Elephas maximus indicus: one gene and its partner. The protein of the gene in region 1 purifies or fractionates together with the protein of each later gene. This does not show direct contact. Links are inferred from orthologs where the notes say so. Each region holds a gene or a part of one and is shown on either strand. Other genes may lie near its edges. The genes, in order: VPS4A and ZFYVE19.

What was found.
Region 2: the proteins of VPS4A (region 1) and ZFYVE19 purify together in Homo sapiens (affinity purification with mass spectrometry; 3 studies listed by BioGRID and IntAct, counting the BioPlex papers as one, with this or other methods). This does not show direct contact. The link is inferred for Elephas maximus indicus from reciprocal best matches to the Homo sapiens genes VPS4A and ZFYVE19.

What each region holds. Positions count from the first base shown.
Region 1 is NC_064839.1:35,547,818-35,555,316, reverse strand, and holds the start of VPS4A (vacuolar protein sorting-associated protein 4A), read right to left. Parts: upstream 3,265-7,499; 5' UTR 3,079-3,264; coding exon 3,058-3,078; intron 1-3,057. UniProt on the Homo sapiens protein: Involved in late steps of the endosomal multivesicular bodies (MVB) pathway. Recognizes membrane-associated ESCRT-III assemblies and catalyzes their disassembly, possibly in combination with membrane fission.
Region 2 is NC_064828.1:15,233,822-15,241,643, reverse strand, and holds the start of ZFYVE19 (abscission/NoCut checkpoint regulator), read left to right. Parts: upstream 1-4,719; 5' UTR 4,720-4,892; coding exon 4,893-4,946; intron 4,947-6,199; coding exon 6,200-6,321; intron 6,322-6,341; exon of another isoform or gene 6,342-6,395; coding exon of another isoform or gene 6,396-6,403; intron 6,404-6,491; coding exon 6,492-6,545; intron 6,546-6,924; coding exon 6,925-7,043; intron 7,044-7,143; coding exon 7,144-7,289; intron 7,290-7,822. Other genes in the region: DNAJC17 (dnaJ homolog subfamily C member 17), read right to left, coding at 4,447-4,524. UniProt on the Homo sapiens protein: Key regulator of abscission step in cytokinesis: part of the cytokinesis checkpoint, a process required to delay abscission to prevent both premature resolution of intercellular chromosome bridges and accumulation of DNA damage.

The DNA of each region.
Region 1 (7,499 bases):
CAGCTCAGCACGGAGGCCAGAAAGTGCACTTGGCCTTGAGGACCAGAGAGGAGCTAGCCAGACAGGGAAGTCCTTCATTGACCAGAGGTTTTCTATGGGATCGATTTAAAGGGACTTTTACTTCCTTCTACTGGCCTAAGTCAACTTGCTTCTCTAGGCTGAAGAGAGAAAACAGTTGTCCTAAAGACAGGTACCTAAGGAGGGGATGCTTGGGCACAGAGTTCACTATACCAGTAGTTCCAGTAAGGAAAGTGTTTGGTTATAGCTGAGACAAATATGTGCTGCTAATTGAGGGGCACTGTCCTCTGGAACCTTCTAAGAACTCAGAGTGAGTGAGTGAGTCTCTGTGAATCTTATAAATTCTGCAGGCCTGTGCCCCAGTCTGAACGAAAAGCATACTGGCTCTTTTCAGGCAGCTGCCCACACCCACATACCCACTTTTAGAAACTGCAGCTTCTCGAACCAGAAGCATTACCAGAAATTACCATCCTCTGTCAGATACAGCTCTGTTCCCCCGGCGTATACCCAGAACCCCATCCACAGTAAACAATAAACCTCCTGGCCAGCTTCTTGCGGGGCCGGGGCATTTGTGAAGTCCTTCCTTATTTGAAGGTAAGATGTCTCAGAAGGACATGGACTACAACACTAACAGACGGGGGGTAAATTAGGCCAAGCTGATGGCAAATGAACTCCAGACTAAAGAGATGAGAAAAAGGTGTAAAAGAGTATTGGCTCCTACCTTCAAGTTTCAGCTCCCTCCTCTACCTACAAATAGAAATTGGCTAGGAGCCCTGGACCTTCTTGGATGATTGGCTTACATACAAGCTTCACTTATCTAGTCTCTCTCCCCCGGAGAGCCCTTTAGATAAGACATGAGGCAGTGCTCCTGCCCCTGGTGGCTTCTCTTCTCCAGAATAAACACCCCCAGCTCCTTGGACTTTTTCCTTCCCTAGCTTCTATGTTGTTATTGTTGTTGTTAGTTGCCATGAGTCAATTCCAACTCATGGTGACCCCGTGTGTGCAGAGCAGAACCGTTCCACAGGGTTTTCAAGCCTGTGACATTTCAGAAGCAGATCACAGGCCTGTCTTCTGAGGCACCTCTGGGTTTGTTTGAACCACCAATCTTTCAGCTGGTAGTATAGTGCTTAACCATTTGCACATCCAGGGACACCCAAGCGTCCCTAGTCCTTTTGAAAGGTGAGGCCCAGAACAATACTAGGAGGTGGAGCACAGCAGGCCTGGCCCATGCCCTCCCTCCTTCAAAATACTCAATTAATACACCTAAGAGTACATTAGATTTTTCTGGCAATCACATGCAGTTTTTCCATATGCAGGAGGCTTTACCTTCAATTTGGAGAGGAAGAGCTTTGTATAACAGTATAGTAAGGTGACAAACAATACTGCCAGTCCTGCCACACTTCTAGTAACACGTATGGTGAAGAATTAAGGAAGAAAGTAAAGATGTGCTAACAAAGAGGTTGGCAAACTTCTGTAAAGGGCCAGACAGTAAACATTTTAGACTTTGCCAGCCATATGTTCTCTGTCACCATTACTCAACTCTGCTATTGTAGTGCAAAAGCAGCCACAGAAAGTATAAAAAGGAATGAGCGCTGTTGTGCCCCAAGGACACTTCATTCACAGATATGGAAACGTGAATTTCATGACTTTCACGTGTCATAAAATAATCTATTTTTTCAACCATTTAGAAATGTAGGAACCTACAACATGGATAAATCTTAAACATTATGCCAAGTGAATGAAGTCAGTCACAAAGCGTTATATATTATATGATCCCATTTACATAAAATGTCCAGAATAGGCAAAAATATACCAACAGAAAGTAGATTAGGAGTTGCCTAGGGCCAGGAGGGTTGTGGGGATGGGGAGTGTTAGCTAAGGGATGCTGGGTTTCTTTTAGGCTGATGAAAATGTTCTAGAACTGACTGTGGTGATGGTTGCACATATCTAGGAATATACCAAAAGCCACTGAACTAGACACTAAATGGATGAATTGTATGGTAAGTGAATTATATCTTAACAAAGCTGTTTTTAAAAATGTAAAAACCATTCTTAGCTCACAGGCCATACAAAAACTGGCTGGGCAGGCTGGATCTGGCCCGAAGACTGGAGTTTGCCCAGTCTTGTGATAAGGTATTAGAGCTCTATGGTTGGGATCTGGCTTTGTACCCCAGCTAACTCCTGGCCTAATACTGCACTTAATTCCATGCCTCCATTCCCACTTTTTCCTCCCCCCACATACGGGAATGCTACCATCCTTGATGCTCTGGCCAAATGCCCCCTCTTCTATGAAGTCTTGTCTAACACCCCCAAGCACTTCCTCATCACACACTGAGCACTAACAATGTACCAGACACTGTGTTACGAATGTTTGAACTGAAGTACTCAATCCAGACCCATTCTCACAACAACCCTATGAATTATGGTACTCCCATCTCCATTTCACAGACAAGGAAAAGCAAGATTCCAAGATCAAATAAACCAGTCCAAGGTCACATGCTACTGAGTGGCGGGGCAGATTCAAACCCAGGTCTGGAGGCTAAGCGTGTTTATGTTTTATGGCCCTGCAGGACTGGCAGCACCAGGTGAATGGGTCAGCCATTCATCCAAGTGCTGCCACCCCAGCAGCGCCCTGCACCACCAGAAGAGAAGTCGGAGACCAGGCAAGAAGCTGGGGCTCCTTCGAAGTGGGGCAGAGGGGCTTCCAGGACCCGGGGCAGAAGGTGGGAGTGAGCATCACCAGAGCGACTAGCCGGAACCAGGGCCGGAGATTGCCCTGGAGGGGCCTGTGGGCCCAGTGATCAAAACGACGGTACCGGGGCGCCGGATGCACGTAGCGGCCTCGGGGCTCGGCCCAGCCAGGGCCGGGGTGGACTGGGAAGGGAAGGCGCCCGTCGGCTCCTATCACGTGAACACAGACCGGGAGGAGCGGGAGGCGCAGACTGCCGGAGCGGGGCTGAGGCCGCAAGGCCCAGGCTTCGGGGGCGGCCGCCGGCCTGCCCGATTCCGCGGCCCGCAGGCCCCGCCGCGCCGAGGTACCTGGAGAGTTGACGTTGTCATTTCATCTCCTGGGTCCGCCCCACACCCCGCGGTGCTGCTTGCGGCCTCAGTTCGGGCCCGGAGAGCCCAGGTGCTGGGTCCGGCACAGGGAACCGGGGGGGTTGGGGCCGAGAGCTGGCAGGTCTGCCGCTCGCACCGGAGCCGAGTCCCACGGCAAGCGAGGAGCGCGGCCAGAGCGGTCGGGCCCGAGGCGCGCTGCTGCCCCTGGAGGCCTCGGCCGGTACTACAGGGACCGCTCCCCGCTGTGGTCGATTGGCCACCCCGCAGCTAGGCGAGGACTGGGCGGGACAGGGGGCGTGTCAGGGCGGGGTGGGCCTAGTAGGGGGAGGGCTGGGGCGGGGCCTGGGATAGGGGGGTGGGACCAATGCCTAGGTGAGCGAGGCGAGACCAAGGGCCGAAGTATCTGAACCCCATTTCCAATAAAATTTTTGGAACAGGTATGGCTAGAATGCTCCTTAGAAGCAAGAATGACGAGACATCATCTATTTTACGTTGGTTGTGTTATCAGGAGGGAGCAATTGTTGGAGAAAAGCATCATGCTTGGGAAAATAACAGGGTCAGTGAAAAAGAGGAAGCCTCTCAACAAGATTGACAAAGTGGCTGCAACAGTGGGCTCAGACCTAACAGTTGTATAGATGGGGCAGGACAGGCAACACTTCTTTCTGTTATACATAGAGTCGCTAAGAGTCGGAACCCACTCATGGGCACCGACGGAGAAGTTTACTCGCACAGTAAACCTAACTTCCCAGAGCTTTGGTCTCATCTTTTGTGTGTGTGTGTGTGTGTGTGTGTGTGTGTGTGTGTGTGTGTGCTTTAAGTGAAAGTTTATAAATCAAGTCAGTCTCCCGTACAAAAATTTGTATATACCTTGCTATATACTCGTTTGCACTGGTTTTTTTTTTTTTTTTATATACTCGTAGTTGATCTCCCCCTGGTGAGACAGCACACTCCTTCCCTCCACTCCCTATTTTCATGTCCATTCGGCCAGCTTCTGACCCCCTCTGCCCTCTCATCTCCCCTCCAGACAGGAGCTGCTCACATAGTCTCATGTGTCTACTTGATCCAAGATGCTCACTTCTCACCAGTATCATTTTCTATCCCATATTCCAGTCCAATCCCTGTCTGAAGAGTTGGCTTTGGGAATGGTTCCTGTCTTGGGCTAACAGAAGGTCTGGGGACCATGACCTCCGGGGTCCTTCTAGTCTCAGTCAGACCATTAAATCTGGTCTTTTTATGAGAATTTGAGGTCTGCATCCCACTGCTCTCCTGCACCCTCAGGGGTTCTCTGTTGTGTTCCCTGTCAGGCAGTCATCGGTTGTAGCCGGGCACCATCTAGTTCTTCTGGTCTCAGGCTGATGTAGTCTTTGGTTTATGTGGCCTTTCTGTCTCTTGGGCTCATAATTACCTTGTGTCTTTGGTATTCTTCATTCTCCTTTGATCCAGGTAGGTTGAGACCAATTGATGCATCTTAGATGGCTGCTTGCTAGCGTTTAAGACCCCAGCCTGTGTAAAGGACCCAGAGAGGCCACTGGTGGATTTCATGAAACTGAACAAAGCCTAGATTGCTGGAGCAGAAAATAAGGTGAAGTCTGATGTGAACTGGTGCTGGGGAGGTGGGCAGGTGCCAAGACATTTGGCTATAGTAAAGATTTTGGGTTTTATCCTAAAAACAATGATAAACCATATTTTAAATAAGTTTTTTTTGTTTTGTTTTGTCATTTTGCATTTTGGATAGAGGACTCTAAACCTAGTATAGAGAGCAGATTGGAAGGAGAGGTGAACTATTGCAATATGAAGCTGTTGGCATAGTCCAGAAGAGTAAGGGAAGCTTGGGCCAGGGGGAGGGCTATGGAGAAATGTATGCAGAGAGGAGAGGTTTGGAAGGCAAACAATAAACACTTAGAAATGGATTAGATACAGGGCATGAAGGGCAGGAGGGGTCAAGGATGACTCCTGGGTTTCTGGCTTTGGCAGGTGGACGGATGGTGGTGCTACTGAGATAGAGAACACTGAACAAAGGCCAGGTTTGAGAGATGGTGGGTGAAGATCTTGAATGTGAGGTGCTTTTGAAATATCCCTGTAAAAACAAGTGTCAGCTGGATATACTGCATCAGAAACTCAGAAGATGAGGGCTGGAGGTTCACATCTGCGAGACATCTGGATACGAGTAGGAATGGAAGCTATGTGAGTGAGAACTCTTAGGGAAGACTAGCGTGTAGGGTGAGGGGAGGAGTGAGCTTTAAAGTTTGTTGGCCAACCAGGGGAGGGTGAGCTTGCAAAAGAAGCTCAGAAAGAGAGCTGGAGAGGTAGGCCAGAAGAGTGTCTTGGTAGTCAGGGGAGGAGTGTCTCAGGGGGAGGATTGTTGATAAGGAGGTAAGGGACAGAAGTACCTAATGCAGCTGAGAAGGAGGCAATGATATGGAAGACCCCAATGACCTCAGCCTGGGAAGTTTCAGTGAAGTGATGGAGGCAGAAGCCATATTACAGTAGGCTTCTTGGAGAAACGGCTGATTTCAGGCCTGGAGCAGGAAAGTACAAGATGAGTCTTTGTTGTGCCAGAAATAAATGTTTAAAGAATGATGGGTCCATATCAAAAGGACACAGTAGCCAGTTTGAAGAGGATCCCCCTGGCTAAATCTAGAATTCTTTTGGGATATAAAAATAAATATATTGTTAATCCCATTTAAAATTGTTAACCAATTAAAAAATAGGAATCCAAGAATCTTTAACATCAATCAATCAATCAATAAATGTGTGGGGGAGGGGGAGAGGAAATTCTTACTTACAATAGAATGCTAACTGATAAATGTAGAAGGAATGATAGTAATAGTCACCATCTGGTAACCATCACAATGGTAGACAATACAGGTAAACCTACTGCTGTCGAGTCGATTCCAGACTCACAGCCACTCTATAGACAGAGTAGAACTGCCCCATAGGGTTTCCAAGGTTGTAAATCTTTACGGAAGCAGACTGCCACATCTTTCTCCTGCAGAGCAGTTGGTGGGTTTGAACCACCGACCTTTCAGTTAGCAGCCAAGGGCTTTAACCACTGTGCCACCAGGGTTCTATATCAACGGAGGCTAAGGCTAGTGGGTGGAGGTCTGATGAAGAACAGCATACTGGCATAGTATCAAAATACCTACACCACAAAAATGCTAATCAAATACACAGGGAAAAATGGTAGAGACACTAACTTGACTAGGTGATCAAAGTTAGCATCACCAGTGTGGGATGAGGTGACATACTCTGAGAAGGGCACAGCATCACTTCTTTGGTATTCTTGCCCAGAATTCCTGACCTGATCTATAATGAGGTCATATGGGATGGAACCAGGCAGAGGGTCATCCTGCAGAACGAAAGACCTAAGCTCGGTAAGATTGTCAAGGACATGAGAATTCGAAAAAAGACCGGGTCGCTGCTCCAGACTGAAGAAACTGATGAGGTATGACAACCAAATGCAACATGTGGCACTGGATAGGATTCTGGACCAGAAAGGAAAAAGGGACATTGTTGGGATGGTTGACATCATTTGAATGGGATCGGATGGCAGTGTGGCACCAATGTTGGTATCCCGATTGGGAGGGTTGTATAGTGGCAGTGTGGGAGTGTCTTTGCTTTTGGGAGGTACACACTAGAGAATTTACAGGTGATAGGGTTTCATGTCAGAAAAAGATAAATTTAGTAAATTGTTAACAATTGGGGAATTTGGGTAAAGGGGATGTAGGAGTTCTTTTTATTGTTCTTGAAATTTTCCTATAGGTTTGAAACTATTCCAACAAAAAAAAAAAGAAAAAATGCAAATCTAAAAGCAATTTTTTATTTACAGTATAAAGGTTACAAAGGTATATATGTATTTATATATATAATACCCTTAAGTTACAAATTTTCATTGTAATGTACAATGTTATATGTTGATTTGCAACTCAAAAGGAAGTGTTGTCTATGCATCTATATTTATAGAGTACACATAAAGCTTTTTTTAATTAAGAACAAAAATACCACCTTGTTTTACGCCACGTATTTTTGATTTGGTAGCCTGGTGACACCAGAAGATTTCAAACTTAAACCTTAAACAAGATTTTAAAAGAAGTCTTGTTTAAATAAAGGATTCTAAAAAGAAAAAACAATATCATATAATTTTAATTCTTTGTAGAAGTATTGTTCTTTCTAAGCCTTAATACTTAACAAAAATGAAAGTTGTATGGAACAGAATACATATGAGTGGGTATGATCAGAATTTGCACAGATTAGCCAAAGTAGGCCTTCGTACGTAGTGGTTTGCCATGTTATTTGCTAGAAGACCTTGGATCTGGTACCAAAAGGGAAATAGATTCTTTGGGCATCAAGGTCTTATAATGCTGCACTCATCCAAGAGATTGTAAACATAACACTGGAGTACTATACTACAGGAAAAAAAT
Region 2 (7,822 bases), on another chromosome or scaffold:
GCTTCTAACTGAAAAGGTAGTTAGAACTCACCTCTGTGGGAGAAAGACATGGCAGTCTGCTCCCATAAATATTACAGCCTTAGATACCCTATGGGACAGTTCTACCCTGGCTTATACGGTCACTATGAGTGGGAATCAACTCCACAGCAACAGGTTTGGTTTGGTTTTAGGTCCTCTCCCCAGGAGCACTTCCACCCCAAACCTAGGTCCTCAACCCAAGACATTCCTGTCAGACGGGAACACCCTGCCCTGCCTGACTCCTCTGGGATGGAGTAGGGAACAAAAAAAATGTCTACCTTCAGGAACTGTGGACTGTCTAAATTCACCCAAATGATGGTGTTTGGTCCCCTTCAGGCCCCCCAGGTTTGTGTGATATGAAGAAAAACATCTGCAGAAGGACTATCTCCACAGACAAAACGGTAGAGTTGGACTTGTCCCTAACTCTAGCCGTGGTTGGCACACTTCTGTAACAGGCCAGATAGTAAAAAATTTAGGCTTTGCAAGGCCCTGAATGGTCTTTACCACACATTTTGCTTTGTTTTTGTTTACAATCTTTTAAAAATGTAAAAACCACTCTCACGGACCATTTAGAAAACAGGCTGTTTGACCCCTGGAGTCAAAGTTTGCCTAACTCCCTCATTTTATATTTTGAGGAAGGTCAGGCCCTGAGAAAGGACTCCTGATTCTTCCCATTTAACAAGTATTTACTAAGACTTACGATGTGCCAGTCACCAGGTAAGGGGCTGCTATGAGGTGAAAGGACCAGATCTGGTCATCAGAGCTGAGAGTACAGATGGAGGGAAGACATGAGACAAGTAACTACACAAATGTATACATAATTGCAAGCTGAGAGGGTGCTGGAAAGGAGAAGAATGGGGTGCTTGGAAAGAAAATAACAGGCAAGGAAGTGCCATCTACACTTAGTTCTGAAGATGAGTAAAAGTAACCCAAGTTAAAGAAGGGGAGGAAAAACATTCTTGGCAGAGCTTGGGAAAGCATATATGCAGGGCTTTTATTATAAGTGCCAGAGGGTTTAAGGGAGTACCAAGATCATTCTATTTTCTGTGAGAATATATTGGAGGGAGACAATAAGCTGGGATAGAATAGATTTGAAGGAGGAAAACAAGTTGGCAGGCTGCCCTAATCGTTCACTTAGAAGTTGGTGGTGGCTTGGGCTAGACTGGTAGTGGTGGACAGGAGATAAGTGAACAGGTTTGAGAAACATTTAGGAGGTTGACTCAGGGCATAAGTGACAGGCTAGATAGCAGGGGTTAGAGGGTAAAAGGGATCAAGAATGACCCTGAGTTTCCAGCTTAAGTAGCTGGGTGATTTACTGAGATGGGAAGTCCATCGAAGGAGCAGGTTTCCAGAGGGAAGTTCAAGAGTTCAACTTTGAATGTAGTAAGGTTTAGACCCCTGTGAAACATCCAAATGGAGAGAAGTAGAGAGATGAATATATGGACTTTGAACTGTGAGACGTGGCCTGAACGGAAGTTAAATCTGATGTTGGTACCCATCACTACCACTGGGCTATATGGTGCGTGACAGGGCCAGGGTGACACAGGGGACAGAGCACTGACTGGGCTGGGCATCAGGGGATCTAGTTCCAATTCTGTCACTAACAACCTGAGTTTCTGAGCTTCAGTTTCACCATCAGTAACAGAAGGAGATTGGCCTTTTTTTGGGTAAGAATTACCTCCTCTGCCCCAAAATGAATGCACAAAACATATAATGCATGATTTCAAGGGTTTAAGCAGCTCTTAGAACCTTTCTGTGGACCAAAATTAAGAACTCACGGACTATATGACCAGATGACCAAGGTTTAGGAGACATTCAGTTGCCGCCAGAGAATGTGACAGGTGTTGTCCCCCGCAAGGAGGAGGGACACCAGAACCTAGGTCTCTCTTGCTGTCTACCAAAAAGTGTGCATTACTATGAAGCTAGCCAGTGTATTCAAAGGCCCCAACCTACTTTTCAAGTTTTATCTTCTTTTACCCTTTCTTCTTGGTATATGCTCCAGAAAAATTGCACTGTACATACTCTCCTTTTTCTTTTTTTCCTCTCCCCTTTCTTGGAATGCCCTTCCTCCATTTCCACATGGGTAAACTATGCCCTTCCTTCAAGGCCTCAAATGCCTCTTCTATTTCCCCAACTCCTCCCAAATTAGAAGTAATCTCACCCTACTCTGAACATCCACAACACTTTATTTGTATTTGTCTTAGAAGACTTACCATGTTCTCCTTTTATTGTAGTTAATTGTGCATGAATCTTGCCTCCCCTACTAAAACGCAGGGGAAGGACCTGGCACATGGAAAGCAACCCATAAATATTAGCACTGTTATCCTTTACAAAGAACCTTCTCACACATCCATTATCCCATCTAAGTGAGCTCTTGATTCCAACCACCTCTGCCCAGCTCAGGCATTGGTCTCTTGCCTAGACAACAGCTCCACCTGACCCCCTCGCGGCAGCTCCTCCACCCTCACCCCGTGTCCATTCTGCACACTGATATTGAATATTTCCTTTAAAAATCCAATTATGTTACTTCTCTGATTTTTACATATATATATATATATATACGGAAACACTGGTGACACAGGGATTAAATTACAGCTGCTATTCAAAAGGTTCGAATCTACCAGGCGCTCCTTGGAAACTCTATGGGGCAGTTCTACTCTGTCCTACAGAGTCGCTGTGAGTTGGAATCGACTCAACAGCAACAGGTATGTATATACATATATAGTTTTATATATATACATCACTGGCTCCCAATTGCCTTCATCAGGAGTTCTCAGCTTCAGGGTTCCAACACACTGGCTGGATCTGGTGTGAAATGTCCCAAATAATTTCTCAGTATTAATGAAGTACTAATTAAATGATTTAACAAATTCAGCACATACAAAAACCTGTTGCCATCAAGTCAATTCTGACTCATAGTGACCCTATAGGATAGAGTAGAACTGGCCCATAGGCTTTCCAAGGAGCACCTGGTGGATTTGAACTGCTGACCTCCTGGTTAGCAGCTGTAGCTCTTAACCACTACACCACATAGTAGGCATTACATACCTATTAGGCATTATTAACACTGCAATTTTATGACTTATAAGGGATGTAGGGTCACTATGAGTCAGAATCGACTAGACGGCAACGGGTTTGTTTTTTTTTTTGGTAAGGGATGTAGTAGACGGTTTTGGTGCCCTGCAGACATCCTTGAAGGAGCCTTGCTGGCACAGTGGTTAAGCAGTTTGAACCCACCAGTGGCTCCATGGGAGAAAGATGTGGCAGTCTGCTTCTATAAAGACAACAGTCCTGGAAACCCTACAGGGCAGTTCTACCCTGTCCTGCAGGGTCTATGAATTGAAATTGATAGCAATGGGTCTTAGGCATCGCTGTAACTTACTTCTGATTTCAGCTGTAGCTGCGGTGGAAAGTACTGCGCAAGCGGACAGCTTTTCTGTCCCAGAGCTGCTGCTTCTCACAGCTCATTCAGCCCATGAGCAGGGCAGCCCAGAAGCACAAGGGCATTAATGGGCATTAAACCCAAAAAACCCACCCTATAGGACAGAGTAGAACTCCCCCATAGAGTTTCCAAGGAGCGCCCGGTGGATTTGAACTGCCGACCTTTTTTGCTTAGCGGCCGTGGCTCTTAACCACTACGCCACCAGGGTTTCCTAATGGGCAATAAATGGGCAATAGCTGGCATTAATTTCCATCCAATGAATTACTGGACTCTCCTTCCAACCAGGCTATAACTGCCACCATGATTCAGGAAAACGGAACAGAAATCTTAAGTACAGTTTGGTCAGTGTCTTGATCAGTGTCCCATTCCCTGGCATTTTATTAAAACCTTCCTGTGGAACCCCGGGCTACCTGCCTGAGTCTTCTGACCCTCCTTCTTTTGGCCCACTAAGAAGTACAACACCTAAACATCTACTACTTGAAAAGAGTCAATGAGCTTGCTGGAAAAGAAAATACAGCCGGCAGAGTCATAGGTCACAATCCTAAGGGGGGATGAAGTGAGAGTGGGGGCGCCTTGAGACCCGGCTTGTCTTCCTCCCAAGGCTCTAAGTGGAGTGAAATGTGCCTTCAGTCGAAACTGAACGAAGCACCTCCAGCTACAGTCCACAGACAAGCGGAAGCAGAGGCTGCGACTGCGCAGGCGTAGAAAGGAGGCTAGGGTTCCCCCGGAGGCTCACCCCGGGGCCTCTCCCAGACAGGGGCCACAGAGCACGGTCACGCGGCGCGAGGAGTCCTCTGTGCGCCCTGCCCCTCCCCTCGAGGCCCTCAGACCCAGGAAAGGTCTGGGAGCCCATCTTCTGAGGCCGTCGGGCCCCCCTCGCTCCCGCCCAGCGCCCGGTCGAACCTCGAGACCGAGTGCCAGCAGCAGACGAGGTGCTAAGACAGGAAGGACGGCTCAGGATCGGCCCTCCTCGCCACTGTTCTCACCTCTTTGTCCGTCGCCTTCTCCTCAATCCCTAGCAGCGAGTACAGGTCCATCTGTAAGAGCTCTTTGGTCACAGCCATGGTTACGACCCTGGCTCGGTTGGTACTACAACTCCCAAGAGCCTAAGCGTGCGTTCGGACTCCCGAGGGCCTCCCGGCTCGGCCAGGCTTAATGGCGTCTAGCCCCCTGGGAATTGTAGTGTTCTGGGTCTGGTTGGCCTGACTCTGAGGGAGGCGGGCTGTCGTGAAAGAACTACGACTCCCAGCAGTCCCCGCCCCGCCGCGGCCGCGCTCAGGCACCCGTGGTTTGTCCAGACTCCCGGCCAGAGGCCGCAGCAGCAACGCCCGGGTGGGCGTGTAGTGCCGGGCGGTGCTGGGTGAGAGTCCAGGGGTCCTTGGCTTGGCCTGCGTGACCTCAGCTCTGCCAAACCTGACGTTCGGGAGCCAAGATGGACAGTAGGTGCTACGGCTGCGCAGCCAAGTTCACACTCTTCAAGAAGGAGGCGAGTCTTTTCTCCCCGGGGGCAGGAGGGCCAGGGAGGACGCGGAGCGGAGGGAAAAACACGGGGTTTGCAGTCCGAAGACTGCAGTGTTTACGGCCCGGTTCAGCCCCTTTCCAGCTGTGTGGTTTTGATGAACTTATTGAGCCTCAGTTACCATTTCCGTAAAATGGGACTAATGTTGCCTCGCATTCGGAGTTGTGAGGGTCCAGTGAGATCTGGAGTTGAAAGTGCCCTATAAACTGTAAAGCATGCTGCTGTCGTTTTTGGAAAGCTACGCCTTTCTGTCCGCCAGATGTACGGTCTGGCAGTTTCCTTCTCCAACCTGCTCCTCCGCAGCCCGGTCTTAGTTAATGCCCTGTGATCACTCTCCATCACACATGCCCTTTATTCTCTTCTCCATCGCAGCCTGCCTTTCCCGGGTCTCTTGAGTTAGATTACTGTCCTTCCTCCTGCCCCCAGGGCACCATTGCAAAGACATGCAGGGACCTCAGGGACCTCCCAAGTTCCTGTGCCTTAGCTATGGCCCGGGCATCTGACCAAGAGATGAGAACCAGATGGAATGAATTATGGCACACAGGGAGGCAGGATGGTGTAGCACTTAGCCTGGGTTTTGGAGTCAGAGTGGTCAGGGTTCAAATTTGAGTTCTGCTGTCCTGTTCACGCGATGACCTTCCTTGGTCTGGGCAAGTCATGTAACTTCTCTGGCCCCATCTAAAATAGGGACAATAAATGGTGGTTATAAAAATTTATTAAGGTAATGTATGTAAATTGTGAGGATTAAATCAGATGAATGTTTGGTACTGAGCTCAGTGCCTGGCACACAGTAAGTGCTTAATAAATAGAGGCTATTGTTACTATTCTATGCCAAACCAAGCCACCCGCCCACTTGGCTAGAGCAGAGAAGGCGTGGGCCCTGCACTCTGTGATTCTCCTTTGTTGAAGGGTCAGTGACTTGAAGCATGAGACTTTGTCTCTCTGCCTTCTACACCCCTGTGCCTGGGAATTGAAGCTGGGGTAGAAAGCACTGGGAATTTTGCATGAAGCTGTACTTGATTTGAATAAGAGACTGGAGACTGAGGAATTGCCCCACCTGCAGCCCCTGTCTCTCCCCAGGCGTCAGGGGCCCCACTCCTCTTCCCCCTCTCAGTGACTGGTCACCACATCAGTGTCTTCCCTGTCTGTGTGCTTGAGGAGTCCCAGGGAGGAGCCTGCAGGGGCACGTGAGAGGTATAGCCTCCTTTTCCTTCCTGCAGTGCGGCTGTAAGAACTGTGGCCGGGCCTTCTGTTCTGGCTGCCTCAGCTACAGTGCAGTAGTGCCCCGGGCTGGGAACACCCAGCACAAAGTCTGCAAGCAGTGCCACGAGGTCCTGACCAGGTGAGAGGCGAGGTGGCCAGGGTCCAGCCAAGCATGGCAGTGGACAGCTGACAGCTCTTACAGCCCTGTGCTCTATGACCAGGTGTCAGCCCAGGAAACTGGGAGTGGGGGAGGGAAGGGCGCTGCCTGGCAGGGTGGCAGAATTCTGACACTAGATTTCTTCACTATAGAGGGGCCGCTCCTGCCAACACCTCCAAGTGGTCACCACCTCAGAACTATAAGAAGTAAGTGCTGAAGAGAAAGAGACGGGGATGGGTAGAGAACAAAAGACCATCAGGGTAGGACTGTCCTCCCAGCTCCTAGAATAAATGAGCAAGCACAGGGTGAAGAGAATCCCTGTCTCAGGCTCCTGACTTCCCTCTTGGGCTTAGAAAGCAGGTCATCAGCCCTCTCCCCAGAAAAGGCGCCTGGTAGACCTTGCCGTGTCTGCTAAAGCTGGGTTGGGCTGCAGGGCAACATGAGCAAGGGCCACAGAAGGTGCCCATTAGAGACCCACCCCCCCCGACCAGATGCAGAGAAATGATTTGAATGGGAAATAGTAAGTGGTCACCTTCCTCCCTACTCCCTGCCTTCCTCAAGAGCCTCTGTCTCATGTCCCACCAGACGCATGGCAGCTTTGGAAGCCAAGCAGAAGCCCAGCACTCCCCGGAGCCAGGGACTGACCCCACAAGACCAGGTCATTGCTGAGCGCCTGGCACGGCTCCGCCAGAAGAACAAGCCCAGTGAGTGGGGGTGGGCAGGGTGGTCTGAAGGGCACAGCCAGGGGCTCCCGGGATTGGGATTCCTCTGGCCTTACAGAGCTCCCTCCCATGCCAATTCCAGAGTCAGTGCCCTCACAGGCAGAGATAGAAGCCCGGCTGGCTGCACTGAGGGACGAAGCCCAGGGTTCCATCCCATCCACCCAGGAGATGGAGGCACGGCTTGCCACATTGCAGGGCAGAGTTCTGCCCTCTCAGGGCCCCCAACCGGTAGGTGCCATGGCTTGGGTGGGAAGGAGGTCCTAGGGAGAGGGCCCAGCAGAAGCCCAGATGCACATTCGGTCATGTACTTTGCAGAGTTAGCAAAGCCTCCCACCCCCACCCCCTGATCCTCAGCTCTGCTGCCAGGCCAGGGAACCAGGGGTGAGCAGCAGGATTGGGTGGAGCACGAAAAGGTGGCCCCTCAGTCCTGTTGGGCACTGCCAGACCCACTAGATTATATGGGCCTGAATTAATCCCCTTTCCCTGAGTGGTGAAATGGTTAAGTACCATCTACTAACCAAAATGTTAGCAGTTTGAATCCACCCAGGGGCACCTTAGAAGGAAGGCCTGGCAATCTACTTCTGAAAGAAAACTCTATGGAGTGCAGTTCTACTCTGACACACAGGGGGTCGCAATGAGTTGGAATCATCTTTACGGCTACTGGTACTGATACTCCTTGGGCTTTGAGAACTCCTTAGTATACACCCCTGACCAAGACTGCTTCTGGGCCTCATAGTGTCGCTTCCCCTCCCTGCACACTG